Drosophila melanogaster: one gene and its partners. The protein of the gene in region 2 binds, or shares a complex with, the protein of the main gene of each other region. Each region holds a gene or a part of one and is shown on either strand. Other genes may lie near its edges.

Region 1 (6,695 bases), on a different chromosome or scaffold from region 2:
TGTTCTCAGTGTAAAAGAGCGCGGTGAGCGTAGAAGAGCGTAGTGCTAAATTTAGTGGAGTGACATAATGAACCGTTCGTTTCGTTTAAGTTGTGTTTGAGTTCCCACTTCTTGATTTATAACCGATTTCTGAATGGAAACCAGAAGCTGAAGCGTAAGACATTAAAGATAGCTTCAAGTCTGGATCTTCTGAAATGTTTACCCTAATTTTTAATGGTTTTTCGGACGCTCTATTTCCCCGGCGAGAACCATACAAAAAACGCTGCGTTTTCGATTTTCAAAGGGGTCACGCGGTGAAAATGCCTGAGATGCGTCGAATTTTGTTGGCAAAGTTTCAAAACTTTTTCGCACACGAATTTATTGTCTCGATTTCTAAATACAGCTAGTTCAACAAGAAAACACGACGTCACCAAAGGTATTTAATAATCCGCCAAAAGCTATTTGGAGAGACCTTCTTTGATCTTCGCATCAAAATATAAATAAATGCGGCTTGTATGTATGTATTTGCATTTTGGATTTGTATGCGCTGCAGGTTTTAAACTTGGGAGTTCTTAATGGGAAACCCGTTTTCGGGCACTCAGATTGGACAAAAGCCTCAGGTGTAGACACGAATGAGTTGAAAAGGTCAAGTAACTAAATATCGCTATTTTCAAAGCTATCATGTACAAATATTTAATCTTAACTGCCAGTTAAAGTGCTGTGCTCAAATTCCGTAGCACTCACATGCTTTATGGAAATTTGTACCCCCACCCACAACTTACCGTCTTTATATTATATCTTGTGTATCGGCACTGTCTTTTGGTTTAATCTATTCACTATATCTTGATTTGTTTGTTCAGGCGTTATCACATAATGTTATTAACCATTCACTTAAGCCCTACGAGTGGAAGCACTTTTTCTGCACATTTACGTCAGAAAGCAACAAAAAATAATAACGCCGCATAAAAACGTGCGAAGCGGTGTGACCGTTATCAGTTCCAACAAGAATGCTAATAAGTACTACCTGAAAGTGTTGCAAAACACGAAACTATAACGGTTTCAACTTTCAAAAGAAAAGCTGAGAAATATCTATAGTAATTTGTCGCACATAGTCCTTTATTTGAATGTAAGTATAAAATGCAATTGAGCAGCTAAAAGCTGGTAGGTCATAAACACTAATGCTACGGGCACATCCCTTGTCTAAGTACAATGAACACTTCTGAGTTTGTTTAAGGCGCACGCGTTTGGAACAAATCAACAACTTAATGCATATGCATATGGCCTGGGCGAGTAAGGGCTGTGTATGGTGGGTGCTCCGGACAGCTAGGAAATGTCTCTCAATGTGTTCGGCTTGGTGCCGTCCATGTCGAAGCAGCGGCAGTTGCACGACGACACGGGGCACTCTGAATTTTGCCTGGCAAATAAACGCGTACATTGGTCAGAATTCAATTAAATATTGGTAACTTTGAACTCACTTGAACCACTGCATGATGTGCTCGGTGTGTCCGCCGTGGCGACAGGTCTGACACCAGGAAAACCACTTTGAGAAGGGCTTGGTCTGCCAGCCGGGCACGTCGGGCGTGGTGGTCGGGGTCTCCCCATTGCTCATGTTCACCATTGTGCCCATGTGCATTAGGCAGAGCGAGCAGCGGGGCAGGGGTTTCCGGCAGCTGGGGCATGAGGAGAGCCTGTTGGTGCTGGTGGTGGTGCTCCGTGGACGCGGCTCGTCCAGCAAGGCGTTGGACACAGACTTGCCGCAAAAGTTGCACGACAGAAATACGGTGCGGGAACTGCGGGAGGATGGGCGGATGCTCTCGATCTTGATGTCCAGCTCGGCCCGCTTCTCCCACAAGCCCCAGCTATTGAGGTGATCCAAGTAGCTGGCGATCCAGTACTGGATGCGCTTGTCCTCGAAAAGCTCTTGCCGGAAGTAGTTAATGGCCACCAGGGCTACCGTCTAAGAAACAGCTCAATGTATATCAAAGTTTCTACATATGTTTTTATAGCGCACGCTCACCTGCACATCGAAGCTGGTGTCCATATAGGACTGCAGTATATCGATTCCGTCCTGCGACTCTCCAGTGAGCAACAAGCCATTTAGATCGCCACCATCTATGGCCGCCTGGATTTGCTGCGCAACATAGTCAGCCAGCTTGGTCTCCGATAGATATTTGCAGGCGAAGGCCATGCGGTCTGATAACGAAACGCCTTCCTCTTTGAGCACTGCATCAAAATTGTCCTTCTCCATCGTTAGAAAGGAGAAGACAGCCCTTAAGTGTGGATCGTGTATCTGCATGTTGGCGCTGGATCGCTGATTCCGCCACGTGGAACTGCAGCGATCTGCATTGAAACTGGACAAGGCGATGACGGTGATCCTGTACATGCTGGGATCCCTCATGTTGTCCGCCGCCGACGATAGGATGTTGCAGGCATGGAAAATTTTCAAGTGGAACACGCAGATCATGGCTGCCCGGCTGTACTCCTTGTTTGCATACAACTGGTCTATAAAGCGATCCAGCTCCTGCTCAAAGGCCCAACCGCAAAGTTGGAGGGCCAGGTCGCGCTGCTCACTCCTGCATAAAGATTGGGGTTATCACACTCGTCAAACCACAAATTCATATAAACTTACCTGTAGCATATCAGTTTGTTGGAGTTGTTGATGCCCTCTGGCCACTGGAGCACCTGAGATTCAATGCGGGAGCTGGCCATCAAGGCCTCCGAGGTGTGTCCCAAGTTAATGCCCAAAGTGGCCTTTAAGCCCGTCAGTCGATCCTCGCTGTAGACATTGTTCAAAGTGGACCACACATTTCGCAGATACGGTGTCAAGTGGAGTTCGCCGAATCGCTTGTTATCGGGTTTGATGCCGTAATCCTCTAGAGCGCGCTGACGCGTCTCGTCCACCAGATCCAGCTCAAAGAGTTCCGGTTTCAGCAGGTCCACATTGAAGGGCGAACCACCAGGAGTGCTAAAGTCCAGGGAACTCCCGCTATTCGTGCTGCAGCTGCTCGTGGGCTGCTGCTGAGTGGGCGTGGCCGCAGTGGAAGTCGGCGAGGCGGGTGTGTAGAGCGGACGCTGCATCAGAAGTGGCAATTTCCGGCGATTGCTGTGCGCCGTGTGCAAGGTGGCTGGCAGTCGAAAGTCCAGGATGTTCAGCGCATCTGCCAAAAGCAGAGCTCTCTCGAAATCCCTCGAATGCCACGACAGGCAATTAACAAACGAAAACTTTCCACTGTGCTGGTATCTAGCCGGAAAGGGGCTAATCTGTCGTTTTACGTGGTAGATCTCTCCGGAATTGTCCGTGTCCACACTCCGGATGTCGTAGAGAGTGATGTAGGAGGAATCGCGTTGCAGCGAGGAAAGCAGGCTTGTCCTGGTCGGACACCAAGCGATCTGCAAATGGTTTTTCGAGGACTGAATCTGCCTGAGGGGACTCTTGATATTTCGCGGATCCCACAGAGTGATCACCGAGTCCACATAGCTGCAGAGATAGTTGCCATTGGGGGATACGGAAAGTCCCTGCACTGTCTTTGTTTGAATGCTTTGACAGGTGGCGTTACTCTCTGCGAAAGGGATTTAAAGATTTCATCAGTGAAAGGGCAATAAAGTAATACTACGTAGTTGAAATATAACCAGTCGCATTATGTGTACTCACGCCTCAGATCGAACAGCTTTATCATCTTCTGGCTCATTCCCGCAATGACCGTGCGATGATTTCGATCCCAGCAAATGGAGTTGGCCGACTCGCCGACGCCGAAGAAGTTGGCCGTCTCCTTGGGAACTCCACGCTCAATGTCCCAGATGGTGATGCAGGTGTCATTTCGATGGCGATCGTGTCCAATGGCCAGGATATTGGCATCCAGCTCGTTCCAGGCGAGGCAGGTGCACATGCGCTGCTGACGCGGTGCTACGAGAAATGAAGAACTATTAGATGCAGCTAAGAATCGGCGTTGTCGTCCACCCACTGTACTCCCAGCTGCTGTCGTAGGTGTCCCGGAAGTTGCAAATCCCGACTTTGCCATCCGCCAGACCCACTGCAATTATGGGCTGGTCACTGTGGTAGGAGGCGGCCACGCAGCGGGCATATTGATAGCGCGACTCGTTGGCGAGGTAGTTCACGGATATATAAGGCAGGCGACCTGCAAGGGGGGCGGTTAAGTAAAGTGGCATAATCCCTTGGGGAAAACCCTACTTTTTTGGCTGTGATCATCTTTGCGGCGCACTTCGTATAAATGGATTTCCTGGCCCCAGGATACGAATTTGTCGGGAAAATGTGGAAACCAGCTGAGTCCGTGTGTATTGCCGCTCATCGTGGCCGATTTTCCATCGATGTAAAAAAAAACAATTTTCACTACAGACTAAATTGCGTCGCGTTATCAGTTTGCAAAAACAAAAACGTGAGATAAACACTGCACTACATGGCAAGAAGAAGAGGCGCACACACACTAGCCGGTCGACCAGCTGTTGGCCGCATGTTAGCCAGCACTGGCCCAGTTCGATAATTCGTTTTATCGATAAGCTGGTAGGTGATTTTGTTTTCCTTTTTTTTTTGTAAGAAAGCAAACGTGTTTAATATTTACAACTCCCACTTAAAATGCTGCGCAAAACACCAAAACCTGCAATTTGGAAATTCATCAAAGGAAGTGCCAAAACACTGTTTGTCCTCGAGGCAGTCTGCTTCGCAGCCAGCTACGGCGTTTATTATCGCATGAACACGAATCGAGGTGGGAGGATATTTATATAATTATTTTGATCGTTAATAACAATCCGCTCCTAGAGTTTCGTCAGCATATTCACGAGAACTATCCCTTCGTTTTGGACTATTACTACAAAATTGGTGAAATCGTCGGAGACAGCACAGTGCGACAGGCGGATGCGAGTTATTGGAGTGCTTTGAAGAAAAGCGACTAGAGGAGACCGCTTCCAAAATGCTTAGTAATCCCTACTTTAAGTCCGTTTTGTGGCTGATTGGCTTCGGAGGAATGGGGTACGGCCTAATGGTGTTAACCGAGCCGAACGTCGACAAGTTAGAGCGCATCAAAGCCTCCGTTTCAAGTACCAAACTGAGTGCGGATGAGCAGCGAAAGGCTCTGTTTATGAAGAAGCTCCAGGAGGCGTCCACCACCAGTGCCCCAATCTACAGGTCATCGTCCGAGAAATAGGATAGTTAGGAAGCTTAATCGTCATCAATTTATCAATTTGTTATACTTTTTAAATACAAATGTTAAGCATTTAATCTTAATTGGTTGGGTAGGGTGATTCATTAGAAGAAAATTCGATTCGTACAAGAATGCGAAATAGGAAAAAGGAAATAAAATTACTAAATTGTTAATATTCACGTTTTAAATGTTTACAGAGCCCTTACTACTTCTGTTACTTTTAACATAATCTGTTAGGAATCTTGACCACCCCTACTCGCAGTGCTCGTAAACGTCCGATTCTTAACAGCGAATCTAATCTAAGCGCAATTGCATTTTAATGGTAATTTAATTGCCATTATTGACAGAGTTTATGGCAACGAAGACGCACACAATGTCCGCGGGGGATGTCCCCTTGGTGGCGATGGCCAAGGTTCCGCCGACCATTCAGTTTGAGGCCACAAAGAACTTTCACTCGCACACCGAGCAGAAGGAATTGGACAGTGCTTTCCTGGGCTACAATCGACGTCCTTGGGTTCGCCAAAAGGCTCACAGGGACACACGCCGGGAGAGGGAGATCCTCAACGGTCTACTGTGCTCTACCAGCGTGGAAACGGACTACGCCAGCACCTGTGTGGACAAACTTATTGCCGAGAACATTAACTATCTGGATTTGGCCTCTCTCACCGACGAAGATTTGGAACTCTTCGGGTTCAAGTGTCGAAAGCAACGGCAACAGCTCCTGGAGATGTTCGAAAAGATTCCCAACCAGAATCCCAGTTACGAATACATTTGCAACCATCCTGAAGCCGAAAACTACAACAATCAGATTCTGGGCAATGCTGGCAACCACTTTATGTCCCTGCGCGCTTCTTTAGCGGCCACCAACTACAAGCTGCAGGTCTCCACTCCCGAGGACGTCGTGGTGGGCGACAAACGATATGCCAGCTGCTTTGCCCAGGAAACTCTAAAAAGCGTGAATCAGATCACCGAAGAGATTGCCAAGGATCTCGCGAAAATCGAAGCTAATGCCCAGAACGCAAGGAGCCAGAAGAAAGTGCAGGGCAACGAGAGTCACAAGAAGGTGAATATAGCAAGCAATAAGAAATTATTTTCCTTTATACAAATTTGCATTGCAGAAGAAGTGGAGCCTGGCTACTATTTTGTATTACACCACCTTGGCTGTGGGATTTTCGTGCGCCTGGTTCTGGTGGTGGACCAAGTTCCGCAGCGCTCCCCGACTGGAGCGGATCTCCGTTCAGACTTAAAAAAAACGCACAACGATGCATTTAATAGTTACATTCCGATTTTCTCATAGGACCTAAGTTTATAGAATTTACTTATTACTTCTTTAAGCATTCGCTTAATCTAAAGCTGTAATGAAGTTTTACTGCCCAACATGAACATTTGATAGAAACCATATGTTGTATTAAGTTGAAAAATTGTTTAATTTATTGCCTTAAACTGACTTCTTCGGCAAGGAGAAGAAACCCCAGATGGACATAGGAGTCCACGTGCTCGGGAAATTCCCATAAAGTTGTGTGCGCAATGAGCTGGCTTCTTTCAGTCGAGTGAGCAATG
Region 2 (5,208 bases):
GGCAACATGACCTTGACCTTGATACCAAGCACTCCCTGGCGGAGGAGCACATGACGGGTGGCGGTCTCGACATAGTCGTTGCACGGATCTCCCGAATGGATCATCAGGCCATCGACGAATTTCATCGACTTGGCACGCTGACCACGCAGTTTGCCGGACACGACGACCTCGCAGCCCTTGGCTCCCGACTCCATGATGTAGCGGAGCACACCATAGCAAGCACGACGGACGGCCAGTCCTCCGGTGAGCTTGTACCTCAGCGACTCAGCCTGGGCAATGGCGCACAGGCCACGAGCGGCCACCTTCTCGGCGTACAACTCAATGCGTCCGGTCTCGAAGTTGAAACGCTTCTGCACCATGGCGGTCAGCTCCCGAATGCGACGGCCCTTCTCGCCCAGCACCTGCTGGGTCTTGGTGGCCATGATGATGATCTCAGTGCGAGAGGGGGTCACACGGACCTCCACGCCGGAGTAGCCATCCTCGGCGAGTTCGCGAGTCAGGAACTCGTTCAATTCAGCCTTGAAGATGCCATCGGAAACGAACTGGGGAGCAAAAAGAAACCATTATAATCCGCATTCCACATCTATTGCACACCTAGCAATCCTCCTTCTTGTTGTTGTTGTTTCACCACGCGTTGTTGAGTTCCAAAGTTTTTGGGACGCCCATCTGCTTTGAGGTTAACTCCGAAGCCGATGGATTTTCGCGCTTTCCGGCCGGGTTTTTCACACAACTCCGATGAAACAACGAACGTACGGACACTGCATTACATGCCGGAGGTAATCCTGTCTCATTTTTCCCCAATTACCTTGCGTTTCTTGGAAATCGGAAGGTTCGCATTCATTTTGACGTCGAATCGGAAACGTGGTGCGCAGAAAAGAAAGAGGCCAGTGTGCCCGCGCGAGACACGTTAAAAAATACCACCCGGTCTGGAAATAAATACCACTATATACCAATTTGGTTTCCAAAAATTACAGTTATACACTACTGAATTAAACAATTTATTTTAATTACTTTTAATATTCATTAATTTAAAATGTTTTTTAGCTATTTGCTGTTTCTGCCTCGTTTTTACTTAAATTGATTCACAGTAGTACTAGGCAGACATGGTTCGGAAACTAGATTACAACAAGCTTGTACACAAACCTAAAGTGACATTCAAAAATTGTGTAAAAATTTTAGTTTTGGAATTTATCTGTATGGTTAAAAATAATAAGTTTGAATAAAATTTGGTTAATTATTTAAATCTTATTATACTATTATTTTTAAATACATACTACTTACAATTTGCAAATATATTTGATAAAACTTAAAAAAAATGATACCATTTCGACAAAAACTTGTCTTTAGAATTCATTATAATTTCAGAAGATTCAAATAGGGATCCCATATGAAGTCCAAATAAACATACACTAAACAGCGTTTAAAGGGGCACATTAAATAGTATTTCGTATATATATATTTGTAAAGTAACACTTTTAACCACGACTTCAGCACGACAATATTTCGGGGCTGGCTCAGTTGGAGAGCTGCGAGTTGGACAGGTTCGAGCTATGCTCCGAATCGGAGGAAGGACCTGGATGCGATGGCGCCTGTTGTTGGTGCTGTTGTAGCGCCTGCTGCTGCTGGGAGTGGGAATGCGGAAGGTGCGAGGGCTGCTTCGACTGGATGGCCGTACCCGACTCGTAGTTGATGCGGATCCATTGGCCCTCCGTGTTCTCCTTCCACAATGTGACATTGTTGTCCCCACCGGTGACGGCAAGAATGTTGCCGGTGGTTGACCACGAGATGCTCCACACGGCATCGTCGAATGTGTGCAGCACAGTCGAGGTCCACTCGGATAGATCTGCGTTGCTGCTCCACACAATCACATGGCGATCCTGCGAAGCCGTGGCAATCTGCGAGCGGGGCAATCCGATCGACGGCGCCCAGGCCACGTCGCGCACCCAATCCGAGTGCGCCTCCAGTCGGTGCTCCTCCACCCAGCGGTCGTTGTCCTCCCGCCAAATCTTCACTAAATTATCGCAACCACCGCTCACTAGGCGCTTTACGGCCGCCGAACGCGAAGTTACGCGCTGGTCAAATGCTGGATCTGGTGCCTGGGCGGGGCACCACGAGATGGCATTCACTCCGATCGTGTGCGCATTCGGTATCTTCTTGGCATCCCACACACCGTACTCCGTGTTGCAGGTGAGCACCGATACCGAGCCATCCGAACTGGCGCAGGCCAACACCAATCCGTACTCGGATGGCGCGAAGTCCACCGAGTTTACCGAGGAGTCGTGGTTGCTGTATTCGTAGCTGAAATGTGGCAAGCACAGAGGTTAGATGTGGCACTCTTTAAATGATAACGGAAATCTAAACATAAGTATGACATGGCGCATTGCTACCTCGTAATCTCGTCAATAAGAGAGTATTTTATTGTGTTATGACAGAGGGAACAATTTAAAGGACACCAACATATATATATATTTATATATATTTATTATAACAAGATCTGATTCTTCTTGTTAAATATTTTCAATACCATGATGTAAACAATTATAAATGATAAATTACATTTGATACAAGACGTCCAAGCATAAATATTAAAATAATGATTTCCAAAGCTATTAAAGTATTATTATTAATCAAGGATCAAGCTATTAAAGTATTATTATTAATCAAGGTCCTAACAATGGGTATCCCCTGGTCGATTCCTAAAACAAACATAACTTTGTTGGTATGGGTGTGCCCGTTTACTTACAGCTTAGTCCAATCCCGGGGCGTTGTGGACTTCCAGACGATCACCTTGCGGTCGTAGGAGCACGATGCCAGTATGTTGCCAAACTTGGGATGTGCCCAGGCCACCTGCCACACTGGTCCCTGGTGTCCCTTGAGCTCGGCGAGCGCCTTATTGTTTTTGCGCGAGTGAAAGATGCGGACGCTGCCGTCCGAGGAGCAGGTGGCCAACAGTAGGCCGTAGAAGTCCAGCGCTGCGTGGTGGACCATGTCCTCGTGCTCGGTGTCGATCTCTTGCAGCAGGCTCACCATCTTGCTCGAAATCCGTTCGTCCGGTCGCCAGATAAATTGATTAAATGCAAGTCGTGTTTTTTTCCGGCGCTTGACGTGGAACCTGGTTGAGCAGTGTGACCTGAGCGCGGCAGTGGCTGATGGTTACACTTGCAATTGATCACATGGTCACTCTAGTCCATAGATGAGATAGAATAATTTCAAAGTTTTTAGTTCATATTCATATTATTCATATTCATATTATAGTAAAACAAGAATTTATTAATTATATTCAATTTAGATCGGGTTTTGGCTTGTGTGGGATTTTAGATACAGTTTAGGTGGTGTTTTGGTATGAACGTTTATGGAGCAGTTTTGATTTAAGTTGGACATGTATAGTAAGATACATAAACAGACACAGTGTATAAATTAGCTTTTCATAATTTGTAATATTTTTATTATAGGCTGTATTTCGATAGAGGCAAGTAATTTAAACGGATTGTTGATTAAAATTCTTGTTCGCAACGAATATAATCTATATGATACAGCTGACAAATACAGGATAAAGCAAAAAATCAGCTTAGGAAATACCCTTACTATTTAAAAAGCTTACGTCCAATAGTATCGCATACACCCATCACGCGCACATCACTAACACCAACTGCCATTGTGAACTGACAATTGTAACTTTTCCGCACGAAAGTTAGCATTTGCAAAGGAAAATAAGGTGAAAACAAGATTTAAAATACATAAAAATTGATTGAGGGAATACAATTTGAATACAAGATAAAGTTGCTAGCAAAGTCGGCTTGAAAACCGATTGGGAAACGTCGAAACAAACAATTGTATTACATAACCTTTTTAAGGTTACATATGAAGAAGGCCGTTTATTGCTATTCTAACAAGGATCTATCAATTCCAGATGCTGTCGCAATCCCTGCTGAGTGGCATGCGTGTCCTGCGCACAGAGGCCCGTCGTAACTTCGGAATCGTTGCCCCTGCCCTGAACAAGGCCTCCGATCCCATCCAGCAGCTGTTCCTGGACAAAGTGCGCGAGTACAAGCAGAAGAGCGCGTAAGTTCTGGCTCCTTCATCCGTTGGTGTGCCTCGACATAATCCTTGTTTTGCTCACCTGCAGCGGTGGCAAGCTGGTGGACTCCAATCCCGATATTGAGCGGGAGCTGAAGACCGAACTGGACCGTGTGGCCAAGCAGTTTGGCAGCGATGGCAAGACCGACATGCTGAAGTTCCCCGAATTCCAGTTCCCCGATGTTAAGGTCGATCCCATCACCCAGGCCCCACAGTAGAGATCGCTCTTCGCGAATGAGTTAGTCTAATTGCTTTAAGTTCAGCTGCTGATTTCGCCTGTGCGCCCCCAAAAACCGCGGGCAAGTCAACAAAAAAAACCAATAAAATCGGGAAAACAACAAGCGATTCGTATGCGAAAGCCACTAAAAGTGTGTGAATCTCATTGAATTATAAAGCGCGTCCATTCCTTAACACAGACATTCGTCTTGTGCGACATCATAAACTCAAAACTCATTAAAATCGAATTAAATTCCATTATAAATACAATATATTTAAGCCCTACGATCTAGAAAACAACAACAAACTAGGTCCTAGCGTGGCGTGGTCAGCGCCTGATGAACAGTCTGCTGGAGCAACTGCATCTTGTGGTTGGCAGCCACCTTGTTGAATGTGCCCAGCAGTGTCTGGATGTCCTTCCCGCTGATGAGGGGCACAAAGTTGCCAGCGCAAGTGCAGAACTCTGCCAGATTCTCGCGCTTGATCTCGCTGCAGCGCGAACAGCGCAGATCCTGCAGCACATAGGACATCATCTTGCGCTGCAGTGCATCCAGCATTCTCATTTCGATCTCCTCGTTATCATAGGCCACATAGCACTGGGCACACAGCCAAACGGGTCTGAAAAATCCAACATTAATCAATTATTTGTGGTAAATTATGTGTACTGGTTTGTGTAACTCACACTCCATCTTTCATGGCGCGATGCTTGTCCTTGCAGAGATCCAGGTCCCTGCAGTGATTACACGCTTTGCAGATGACCTCGTTGATGATGTGACTGTCGCAGGGATCCTCCCACTCAGCCAAGTCGGAGAACTCACCAATCCCCACCAGACGCAGCATATTTCGGCGCAACTCGTTGATCTGCTCCGCCAGCGTTTTGTCCACACTCAACGCCTTGATCAGAGTGCGGATAAG
Region 3 (6,361 bases), 6.4 Mb from region 2:
GTATCGCTGCTGGCCGAGGAACTGGGCTGCTACAAAATGTCGCTGGACTGCAAGGACAAGCTGATCAAGTTCTATGAGTCGCTGGGCTATGTGGCCATTCCCGGAAACTCCAACTCCATGACGATTCGCTACGATGAGGGGCCAACGCTCAAGCGGAATGCTACCTCAGCCGGCTCCAGTGGAACAGTGGGCGACTCCTGCCAAACTGTGAGCCTCGATTTTGCCTCTTGACAATTAGCCGCCAACGCTGCTCCAAAGTCCAAGCTTTGAGTGGGAGCACCCCATCTCAAAGTTACAAATGCGCGAAGCGCAATGCAACAAAACTAAAATTGGATTCTAAGAAAACATTAAATGCATATAGGCATTGCCAAAATTCCATTGCGCTGAGGGCATGATGGATTTTTGGACAGCGCTGGCTGGCGGTGGTGTCCTTGTGGACGGACGTGCTTGTCCACCCACCCGCGAGGACATACAATTAGATATTTAGTTAAAGACAACCGCAACATATGTTGCTCTCTGTTTTTAATCCCTACAGAACTCTCAATTTTATAATTTTTTCTCCCCTTTCTGCTACTGAATGTGCGGCTCGACCTCTCAACTCCAAGGTGGTTGTAATATTACCTTTTAAGAGCACCTTCATCAAGTAGCCCTAAGATTGAAACACTCGCATAACTGTTAAACTGTTATTAACACTAATCAACAATAGCGATTAAAACCCAATACGAATCTTTCAAAAACCTTTAATGATTGAAGAAATTCAATAAAGTGGACACTTTTTTCAAAAGCCCAGAATGTTTATAAACTTACTTGCATCAACAGACAACAGTTTTATTTTCCAATATTTCAAAAAAAGTTAAGTAACAAACATTTGTGCTATTTAAAGTTGCAGAAGATCGATTAAACCTGTCTGTTAATTTACTTCACAAACGTTGAGCTTATTTTACAAGTTTACATCTTCGAGCTACATTTATATAAAAATCTGTTTAGTGTCTAGTGCAAGGTACTTATTGGGCTTAAGTCTTCTCTATTTACAAGGCTCTCAAATGGGGGGCAAAAGCTGGGCAAACCCAGCCTCCTCCGCGTCTCATGAGTACGCGCAAAGGTGTCCGCACTTGGGGCACTTGGAGTGTTTGGCAAAGTACTTCTGCAGGTGCTCTATGTGACCGCCGTGGGAGCATCCTTGGCACCAGGCGTAGACTCCCCGGACGATCAGACCGCAGACGCAGCACTTGGCGGACTGCATGGACTTGCACTTGTCGCAGTACCATCCCACCTTGCCGCCCATTGGACGTCCACACTCTCCACAGTTCGTGTGCATGGCGGTCGAGTGCTGGTTGAGCTGCTGCACCGATCTCAGCCAGGAGCGGTTGATAACCTCGCAGGCCTCGTTCCACAGCTCATAGCGATGCAGCTGGTCCACGTAGGTGTAAAACCAGTGCTCCTGAAAAGGAAGAAAACCGGATGAATAACTCCGTTCTGATCCCAACTTTGTCTTTGAACTCACCACCAATGCATCGTCAATGGGCAGGAGCTTCCGAGCTTCTCCCAGCGCTATAAGGACTGTCAGAGCTGTTTGCACATCGCCCACATCGTTCATTAGCATGAGGGCATCGGAGACGAACTTATGCGGTTCCCACATGGGTATGGGCGGGACATGGCTGACTTTTAGGACAGTGGGAACATGCGGTGGCTAAAAAGAGGATGAATAAGTTAGTTAAGCTGTAAATACATCGAGTTCTCAATAATCTCAACTAACAGGTGACTTTTCGTGATCGGACGCCTTGAGATCCAGTTGTGGTCGTGCAGCCTGCACATCGTGATGAAGGGCGGGGAAGGCCAAAGCTTTCGGGCATTCTGTGGGACCCACGTAGATAAACCCATTGCGCAAGAGCTCAAAGTTGTCAAAGGTAATCTCGCTGATGATTTGCGTTTCGGACAGAATCACTGAGCTCGTAGGCGGATGCTCCACACCACTGCTGCCGAGCGTATCATCGTCCACATTCGCCACATCAATTTCGTGGGCTGTTTCCGGCGTGTTTCCATTGAGATCCTGGCCTAGTTCAGTTCGCTGCTGTGGCCAATCGCTGGCTACTTGCGTGGCACGTCGTGAGTTCATTGGATTCTTTTGATTCGAGAAGGAGGAGCGGTGCTCGAAGGGAGGCTCAAAGTGATTGCTGCCGTAGAACAATTTGATAAAGTTCCACAATGTGGTGGCCTGAAAAATGTAGATGCTAAGTTTTGGCAAATTTTGGGAATAATCTCAAGCGCTTACATTATGTTTGCCGTATTTCTTGGAAACCTCTGCATTGTGCTCGCATAACTCCGATAGTTTTTTCCCACTGATAACAAGTTCCCTGGCACAGCCAATAAAACTTTCGTGTTCTTGGGTGGGTCTTGAAACAGATTCGCTTAGGGGATAGCCGGAAAACTGAAATATATCAATTAGTATCAGATTTGGCAAAGAAATCCCTAATAGTGTCATACTAACCGTGTCGTTTACCATGAATTTGTACATTTTGGAATGGTCCAAATGGAACTGAATGCTGCCAGCCACATTCGTCTTACGGCGACTTCTAAAATACACATACATATAAACATACAAGTTGATACAACAAATACGACATACATGAAGCTAGAAGACTTGGTATTGGATGCACCGCTGGTCTTGGGTTCATACTCCTTGATCTTGTTGGCAAAGGAGATGTCCCCAAATCTGCCCAGGCTAGCTCCCTGGGCATTTGCCTTCAGCGCTGGCCTCGTGGCATCCTTAAAAGCATGTTTGTAAATGGTGGAGTCCTTGCTGATGGACAGAAGACAGTGCGAGTCGCTGCCCTGCCACGCAATTCCAGTAGTCACATTGGTGTGCTCGTTGAAGGAGGCAAAGGGGATGTAGGGTCTGCGGATGTCCCACACATGAACGCTGTAGTCCACCACAAGGGCACAACTAGCGATGTGATAACTGGAAAGGATTAAACAGATTTAATATAAATAAGACTGTTAAACCTGGCTAGAAAAACCTACGTTCTTTCTGGTCGCCACTTAACCCGTCCCACTACGGCGATTGTGTGAATGGTGTGCTCCAATCCCGGCCTGCCATCCATGTTCCACACCTTGATCTGCTTGTCCCGACTTCCGGTGGCCAGCCAATTCCTTGTGGGATGCCAGTCGCATGTGTAGACTGGCCCGTAGTGCGCCGTAAACTGCACCATGCACTTGTCCCACTTCCGCATGTCCCACAACTGGACAGTTCCATTCTCGGAGACGGCGGAGAATATGTTTTGTGTGTGTGGACTGAACTTGACATCCCGCACTGATTCCGAGTTGCAGAAGTAGGTGTTGATTGACTTATCCGATCGGATGTCGAAACACTTGATGGTGCCATCCTGAGAACCGGAGATCAGGATGTTGGGCTCGCTGCTGTGAAAGGTCACGGTATGAGCGGTGCGCTCATGTTCGTTGTAGACAAGCAGCTGCTTCTGCCTGCCGAACTTGGAGAGATCCCACACGGAAACCACTCCGTTCGTGGCCGCCGTAGCCAAAAGATTGCTATCCAAGGTGGACCAGGCCACATCGTTGGCGGAGTAGCTAAGATTCTGGTTCTTTCCGCGCATATTACACGATTCCGTGAAGCCATTGCTGTTTATGGAGTACACCTTAAGCACTGTTCGGAAGCAAATTATGTGTATTTATAGAAAGACCTTGGGCAATTCTAATCTTACAGCTTCTTCCGGCCAAAGCAATCTGGTTGTTGTCCTTATTCAGGGCCAGGGCGTTCGCGTGTCCTTCCAGGCATATCCGCAGCGAGATTGTGGAGGTGTCCTCCACGGAATCGGGCATCCTGCAGCAGTTGCAAGTTCGCCCGCAGAAAGCAAAACAGTGATTTGATAAGACAAGACGCTATCTTTTATTTTCCTTTCGGTTCAGTATGACCGTTTCTCGAGCGGCAAACCATTGGCGCGAGTGTTCCCAAATGCAGATGTTGAATATTGTTTGAACAAAAGACTTATTGTACTAAAGTTGTATTATTCACATATAATTAATGTATTCTATACATATACAGACAGAAACATTAATTTCAATTAAGCTATTAAATTCTTTGAAACTTCTTGGAACACTCCAATAAGATCTGCCAGTTGGAGCGCGTCGTTGCCGGACCATCCACACCGACGGAGTGGCAACGCCATTCGTGCGGCCTTGCTGTTTACAAAAATCACGGTCGACTTTTTCGACAATTTCATTTACCAGCGCAACAAGTGGCCGCAAGAAAGCAGGAGAGTGGAGCCGGGTGATCCTGATCCCTTCCAGAAATGCCGGACATCAAGATAACGCCCTTGGGCGCCGGCCAGGATGTGGGCCGCAGCTGTCTGCTGCTCTCGATGGGCGGGAAGAACATAATGCTCGACTGCGGGATGCATATGGGCTACAACGACGAGCGCCGCTTCCCGGACTTCTCCTACATAGTGCCGGAGGGTCCGATCACCAGCCACATTGACTGTGTGATCATCTCGCACTTCCACCTGGGTGAGTCTCGGCCTCCCAAAGGCGCTCTTATCTGGTCAACTGGCTCTAATCGTTTCTTTATCGATTGCATGCATTCCAGATCACTGCGGGGCCTTGCCCTACATGTCAGAGATTGTGGGCTACACGGGGCCCATCTACATGACGCATCCGACCAAGGCCATAGCACCCATCCTCCTGGAGGACATGCGGAAGGTGGCCGTAGAGCGGAAAGGCGAGTCGAACTTCTTTACCACCCAGATGATCAAGGACTGCATGAAGAAGGTGATTCCCGTCACACTTCACCAGAGTATGATGGTGGACACGGACCTTGAGATCAAAGCCTACTATGCAGGCCATGTCCTGGGCGCCGCCATGTTCTGGATCAAGGTGGGCTCCCAGAGCGTTGTCTACACGGGGGACTACAACATGACTCCAGACAGGCATCTGGGAGCCGCCTGGATAGACAAGTGCCGGCCGGACTTGCTGATCTCCGAGAGCACCTACGCCACTACCATTAGGGACTCGAAGCGGTGTCGCGAGAGGGACTTCCTCAAGAAAGTTCACGAGTGCGTGGCTAAGGGCGGCAAGGTTTTAATCCCTGTTTTTGCCCTGGGTCGCGCCCAGGAGCTGTGCATCCTGCTGGAGACGTACTGGGAGCGCATGAACCTCAAGTACCCCATATACTTTGCTCTGGGTCTTACCGAGAAGGCCAATACCTACTACAAAATGTTCATCACCTGGACGAACCAGAAGATCCGCAAGACCTTCGTTCACCGCAACATGTTCGACTTCAAGCACATCAAGCCCTTTGACAAGGCCTACATCGACAATCCTGGCGCGATGGTAGTGTTCGCCACGCCAGGCATGCTGCACGCAGGTCTTTCCCTGCAGATCTTCAAGAAGTGGGCGCCGAATGAGAACAACATGGTGATTATGCCCGGCTACTGTGTGCAGGGAACCGTGGGCAACAAGATTCTCGGTGGCGCCAAGAAGGTGGAGTTCGAGAACCGCCAGGTGGTCGAGGTCAAAATGGCCGTGGAGTACATGAGCTTCTCGGCCCATGCAGATGCCAAAGGTGGCTACAAGCTTAGCACTTTTATGCTGATACTAATTAATTTTCTGTATTGCAGGCATTATGCAGCTAATTCAGAACTGTGAGCCAAAGAACGTCATGCTCGTCCATGGTGAAGCAGGGAAGATGAAGTTCCTGCGCTCGAAGATCAAAGACGAATTCAACCTGGAAACCTACATGCCGGCCAACGGCGAAACCTGTGTGATTTCTACGCCTGTGAAGATACCAGTAGATGCGTCCGTTTCCCTGCTTAAAGCAGAGGCCCGGTCCTACAACGCCCAGCCACCGGATCCCAAGAGGCGGCGACTAATCCATGGCGTCCTCGTAATGAAGGACAATCGAATAATGCTGCAAAACCTAACCGATGCCCTGAAGGAAATCGGAATTAATCGACATGTTATGCGATTTACATCCAAGGTCAAAATGGACGACTCCGGACCGGTCATTCGCACAAGCGAAAGACTGAAGACTCTGCTCGAAGAAAAGCTAGCCGGCTGGACGGTGACGATGCAGGAGAACGGCTCCATAGCCATCGAATCCGTTGAGGTGAAGGTGGAGGAGGACGAGAAGGATCCCAAGCAGAAGAACATTTTGATATCGTGGACCAACCAGGACGAGGACATTGGAGCCTACATACTGAATGTGCTGCAGAATATGTGCTAGGCAACGAAGAAGCATCCCATTGAAATCCCACGCCTTAATTCCATAGATAAGCACAAAGTGTAGATACCACCAATTTCTGAAAGTTTAAAGAGTATCAAAATATACATAAACGTTCCAATAGTTTTT
Region 4 (5,082 bases), on a different chromosome or scaffold from region 2:
CTTATTGATAGTCGGAATTGTACTACGATTTAAATAAAGGTATATTTTAGGTAGGTATTTATTTAACATGTGTCAATGTTAGTATATTTTACGAGCCTAAACAAAAACGGTCAGTTTGCAGTAGCCGACTTCTTAAAACTGTCATTATTTTAATATTTCAATAACCCGGAGCAAATCCCAGGCAGTTAATCCGATCCGCAATGACGAACGAAGATGTGGGCACCAACAGCGTCGCCGACCGCCTACAGTTGGGTCCGCGCGAAGGCGTCACCTATCCGATCCAGATGAAGTACTGTGGCCACTGCACGATGCCCATTGAGGTGAGTTCGTCTTCAAACCTGGGAAAAATCCATATTAGGGATCATATATGGCCCATATATTTACATATATATATATCCACTATACGCAGTACTGCGAGTACTATCCGGAGTACGAGAAGTGCAAGGAGTGGCTGGAGCTCCACATGCCCGATGACTTCGAGCGACTAAAGATTGAGGAGGAGGCTGCCGCCGCTGACGGGACGGATGACGACAAGAAGCGCCAGAAACGCGGTGGCAAGGGACTGTTGCGCGTCAAGAAGAAAGAGGACGTGCCCAAGCGTATCTGCGTCTCGCGGGCGGCACGTGGCAAAAAGAAGTCAGTGACCGTGGTCACAGGATTGAGCACTTTTGGTAGGTTCTGTTCGCACATTATGAGTATAGAGTAGGAAATGGAGGGGGATGCGGGCCCACTGGATGCTATGAGTAGCCATTACCATACCATGTAACTTAGATATATTAGATATACTTATGAGCTTTATTGTTAACTAAGCATAATACATTCCCTGTCTGTTCCAGATATTGATCTCAAGGTGGCCGCCAAGTTCTTTGGCACGAAATTTGCCTGCGGCTCCTCGGTTACCGGAGACGACGAGATCGTCATTCAGGGTGACGTCAAGGATGACTTGTTCGATGTCATACCCGAAAAATGGGCCGAGATCGATGAGGACGTCATCGAGGATTTGGGCGATCAGAAGCGAACATAAATAATTTACCTTTTTTTTTAGCTTATTTTATACGCTCCATCAACATAAATATATGAAACGTTAAACGTAATAAGCGGATGGGTTATTTTGGCGGCTGCTACCCGAGGTTTTCTCCATCTGGTGTCGGATTGGACTTGGTTTCCATTGAAGTGGGTGCATCCGTTGCAGGCGCTGTAGTGGCTTCATTTGCTGGAGTAGCATTATTTTCTGAAGACGATGTTTCCACTGGGCTTGCTTCTTCTGCTGGAGTAGTAGTAGTGGCTTCACTTGAAGGAGTAGCGACATTCGCAGGAGTAACTCCATCACCTGGCGTGGTTTTGTCCGCTGGAGCTATTTGTTCCGCTGGATTGGATTTTGCCTGGGCATTACGCTTTACGCCAGATTGCTTGCCGGCCTTCGCAGTGGACTCCGCAGGCTTTTCCGCCGGTGTTTCCTTAGCAGCGCCTTTGGTTTCTCCACCATGGAAGTGTTTGTAGCTCAGCTGAATGATTTTCTCGTTCTCCTCATCGGTTAGTGGAGCTTTATTGTCGTCGATGAGCTGGGGAGGTTATTATATACTTAATTAGCCTTTCTGGCATATGATAGACTAATCCTTACCAGTTGCGTGTGTAGTGCACTTGTAGGCGGATCGTTGATCATTTGCAGGATCTCTTGGGACTTTAGACGATAAGAAGACAGGTCTTTAACGTAATTCATAATGTTCTCACGAGTTTGTGTCTTGCAGGGCGACTCCTCCAGATACTGCAGTGCCTGTGGAACAAAGTGTTTGGTTAATTTATCATATATTAGTTAAATATTTAAAAAAATCGACACCTCATAGGTAACCGTGGCCAAGTTGCGCATGCCGAACTTCTTTTTGGTGCTTTTGATCTTCTGTAGAATCTGCATTACCTCCAGATTGGTGAGGTACGAGAACGTGGGATTGATCCTGAAATGGAAGCGTTATCATCTGCATATTATTCGCTGTTTAATGGAAAAACTAAATAAAAACAAAACAATCCTCACGTTTCCATTTCTGCAAATTTTAGTATGACCGCAGAGCGAGCGCTAAAATATACCCCACCTACGCATATTACAGTTGGCCTTTATATATTAACATAACAGATAATTTATACATGAATAAAACGATCTACTCAACAAATTAAATGGTGTTGAATTAATTTGTTGTTAAAATTTGTTATAATTGGTTTTTGCATTGGAGTATATTTGTTGCAGTAAGGCTATGGTCACACTAAAGCATCGCTTACCATAACATTACAGCGAATTCCGCCACTGTTATTGGATTGTGCCACCTGCTGTTAAAGCTTTGGAGTCCACTCCGCGGAAGGAAGCAGAGGATGTGGATGCGGTGATACTGGAATCTTTTGAACGGCATGCATTCCCATACGAATGAGACGGCTGCGACGTCGACAACGGCGGGCGCGGTCACGAATGGAGCAGGCGGATCAGGAGCTGGAGCAGCGGGTGCCCATGGCAGCACGGAGGGCAAGATCCGGTGCATCTTCCTCAGCGAGTTTCATGCGACGGCGGGCTGCAAGATAAGCTGCCAGGTGAGCTGGTTCCCAGGAGCGCTGATAACGCAGTATAGTTCGAACAAATCCACGTCCCTCAGGTTCCTGATAACTACATATCCAAGGATGTGTTCGATGCTATCAATGTTTACATCATACCCAAGCAGCATCTTCAACGCTGCATTCTCACCGTCAACGCAATGGATGTAAAGATAGTCGGCTATCCAGTGGGCATCCAGGATCAGCAGAAGTACGCACGGAATGCCTTCCTGTTTAACCTATGCTTTGTCTGCGACTCGCGGGCCAGGAGCGTCCAGTACGAGCCGGTCGTCAAGAAGCTGTCCGAGTACCTCATAATGATGGAGGAGGAGTCGTGCTTCCTGTCTCGCGAAGATGACAAGCGCCGCCTACAGAACATCTTTGAGACTGTACTACGCGACCTTAACGAGCGGAAGGTGGCCACCATTGTTGAGGGCGATAACACTATATACCTGAAGATCGTCATGCACAAGCCGGACCCGCCGCCGGTCAAGGATCACATGGTGCCCCTGCTGCTGGCGAACCTGCGCGATGCTCCGCTGGACAACTGGGACCTTACCACACAACAGGTGCGGACTATTCCTGATTCTATAGTTATACAATCTTCACGATGTAAATAATTTAGTAATCCCATTGGACTGTTATGGTTTCCTCTAGATCCTGCCTTATATAAATGGAATCAACCATGTTGCCCGCATTGCCGCCGAAGCGGACGTGGAAACGGACCTGGTCAAGTCGTGCATACAGAATCTGGTCTACTACGGGGTCGTTCAGCTGCTGCCAATCCTGAAGTACAGCAACGTGTACATGACGCAGAACCTAAAGCATCTCATCCAGAGCGCATCACTGAGCGGCGCATGCCGGAAATACGTGGCCTTGCGTCCGGACAAGACGCTGCCCAGTGTTCAGCGCATCTTTCAGTTCTACGCCTCGATGACTCACGGCGTTACTCTGCGAGCGATCTGCCAGAGATTGTGCCCCCAGCACCACAACATCGATGAGCGTCGCATGGTGATCTTCGGGCTGCAGCACCGATTCATTCGCTGCATCCACAAGTACCCGGTGTTTACGGGCTCAGTGCCTTCCGGGCGGCAGAAGATGTACACCGGGCTGATCAGCTTTGACGAGATCTGCTGCAAGACGGGCCTCTCGCCCTGCACCATCGAGCGGGATATCGAGAAGGACACGAATGTGACTGTGATCTGGAAGTGACGACCGGAAGGACTTCTCCGGCCAGTTGGGTTTGTTGTAGTTTGTAAGCGAACCGATTGTTATGTTTCCAAATGCTTTTTTATATACGCGCATATACACATTAAAGTTTAAGAATTCACTGGTTTGGCTTGGGCTGGTTCCGGAATCGCTTTGCCAGCTGGACAGCAATCAGGAATCCTTTGCGCTAGAGATAATGCAATCCTGAACCGCCTGGGCCACACAGGCGTCCTCCGAGGCCATGCCTTAAATAGGAAATGTATGAAATTTTTAATGATACAACTTTGAAACAGACAGAGATAGTCATATAGTTACACAAACTTAATAAAAACGCACCCATGGATTGAAAGATGCTGATTTCTAGCTCCTTGGGATAGTTTCCATCCAGAATGATCTGACCCACTTCAGCGGTGATCGGCGCAGGTAATCCCACCAATTCAGCCTCGGCATTGGCATAGCAATCCACGTAGACCTTGGCCTGCTGGTAAATCTTTGGAGCCACCTCCGAAAAGTGAACTTCGCCGGCTCCCACAGCTGAAATCGAAAGTTATAAAGGGTAGGTCATCATCATCCATCCAGCATTCCATTATAACAGCAGACCTACCGTTAATATGAACAGCCCGTTTGGATTTCAGATCTGCCAACTGGATAAGCGGCTCCTTGGAGTACGTGGCGATGCAGATGATATCGGCATCCTGGCAAGCTTCGTGAGGACTTGGACATACAGTAATCTGGGTTCCGCTCTCGGTGTTCAATTTCTGCCGCAGTTGGTCCGCTAAACCCAGTGCCTTTGCCTGCGTGCGATTGTAAAGATTAAGCTGCCTCACCCGGAAGTTCGCGCAGAAAGCGGCAGCATGGAGTTGTCCTTGAACTCCACAGCCCACGATGGCCACGTTGATATTCCTTTCCTGCTCCGCCTGCGCCCCAAAGCGCCTGAAGTACAGATACTTGGTGGCCACCAGTGAAGCGGATACAGTGCGCCAGGTGGTCAAGTCCGTGCCCTCCATTATGGCCGACAGTTGACCGGTTTGATTGTCGAACAGCAGCACATGGGCATGGATGCTGGGCAGCGGAGGATCCCGTCGGGGATTCCCACTGAACGAGGTCACCAACTTGCAGGCCAGTGTTGAGTGGGTGTGCTCCACTTCCCCAGGATCCCTTGACGATTCCAGCCTGTAGTTGCCCACATAGGCGGGCATGGTGAGCAGAACCTTGCCAGGTTCCTTGCCGCATGGAATAAAAGTCCTCTTCGGTTGAAAGGCAAAGGATGTGGAGGGCGTTTCCGGATTCTGCTTAACT

What was found.
Region 1: Sec13 (region 2) and mio share a complex: the UniProt entries of both Drosophila melanogaster proteins name them as parts of the GATOR complex.
Region 3: Sec13 (region 2) and Wdr24 share a complex: the UniProt entries of both Drosophila melanogaster proteins name them as parts of the GATOR complex.
Region 4: Sec13 (region 2) and Nprl2 share a complex: the UniProt entries of both Drosophila melanogaster proteins name them as parts of the GATOR complex.

What each region holds. Positions count from the first base shown.
Region 1 is NT_033779.5:2,215,018-2,221,712, reverse strand, and holds mio (missing oocyte), read right to left. Parts: upstream 4,424-6,695; 5' UTR 4,287-4,423; coding exon 4,169-4,286; intron 4,116-4,168; coding exon 3,942-4,115; intron 3,884-3,941; coding exon 3,632-3,883; intron 3,540-3,631; coding exon 2,609-3,539; intron 2,553-2,608; coding exon 1,997-2,552; intron 1,937-1,996; coding exon 1,455-1,936; intron 1,394-1,454; coding exon 1,303-1,393; 3' UTR 1,088-1,302; downstream 1-1,087. Other genes in the region: CG42371 (uncharacterized protein), read left to right, coding at 4,571-4,700, 4,754-4,887; CG15386 (uncharacterized protein), read left to right, coding at 4,905-5,138; daed (daedalus), read left to right, coding at 5,488-6,198, 6,254-6,382; CG34174 (uncharacterized protein), read right to left, coding at 6,566-6,695. UniProt on the Drosophila melanogaster protein: An essential component of the GATOR subcomplex GATOR2 which functions as an activator of the amino acid-sensing branch of the mTORC1 signaling pathway.
Region 2 is NT_033777.3:23,354,488-23,359,695, reverse strand, and holds Sec13 (secretory 13), read right to left. Parts: upstream 3,419-5,208; 5' UTR 3,031-3,418; coding exon 2,744-3,030; intron 2,299-2,743; coding exon 1,515-2,298; 3' UTR 1,165-1,514; downstream 1-1,164. Other genes in the region: RpS3 (ribosomal protein S3), read right to left, coding at 1-542, 806-841; ATPsynCF6 (ATP synthase, coupling factor 6), read left to right, coding at 3,911-4,062, 4,127-4,295; PolE1 (DNA polymerase epsilon subunit 1), read right to left, coding at 4,608-4,911, 4,976-5,208. UniProt on the Drosophila melanogaster protein: Functions as a component of the nuclear pore complex (NPC) and the COPII coat. At the endoplasmic reticulum, SEC13 is involved in the biogenesis of COPII-coated vesicles.
Region 3 is NT_033777.3:29,741,163-29,747,523, forward strand, and holds Wdr24 (WD repeat domain 24), read right to left. Parts: upstream 3,931-6,361; 5' UTR 3,838-3,930; coding exon 3,720-3,837; intron 3,662-3,719; coding exon 3,022-3,661; intron 2,960-3,021; coding exon 2,627-2,959; intron 2,574-2,626; coding exon 2,489-2,573; intron 2,429-2,488; coding exon 2,273-2,428; intron 2,216-2,272; coding exon 1,757-2,215; intron 1,691-1,756; coding exon 1,505-1,690; intron 1,442-1,504; coding exon 1,085-1,441; 3' UTR 810-1,084; downstream 1-809. Other genes in the region: Gnpnat (Glucosamine-phosphate N-acetyltransferase), read left to right, coding at 1-207, 536-577; IntS11 (integrator 11), read left to right, coding at 4,308-4,521, 4,601-5,575, 5,631-6,235. UniProt on the Drosophila melanogaster protein: An essential component of the GATOR subcomplex GATOR2 which functions as an activator of the amino acid-sensing branch of the mTORC1 signaling pathway.
Region 4 is NC_004354.4:16,881,556-16,886,637, reverse strand, and holds Nprl2 (nitrogen permease regulator-like 2), read left to right. Parts: upstream 1-2,272; 5' UTR 2,273-2,397; coding exon 2,398-2,574; intron 2,575-2,636; coding exon 2,637-3,143; intron 3,144-3,231; coding exon 3,232-3,786; 3' UTR 3,787-3,954; coding exon of another isoform or gene 3,955-4,028; 3' UTR 4,029-4,119; downstream 4,120-5,082. Other genes in the region: DENR (density regulated protein), read left to right, coding at 201-320, 410-671, 837-1,024; Polr3I (RNA polymerase III subunit I), read right to left, coding at 1,122-1,562, 1,622-1,774, 1,838-1,952, 2,030-2,037; CG4872 (uncharacterized protein), read right to left, coding at 3,955-4,028, 4,120-4,317, 4,388-5,082. UniProt on the Drosophila melanogaster protein: An essential component of the GATOR subcomplex GATOR1 which functions as an inhibitor of the amino acid-sensing branch of the TORC1 signaling pathway.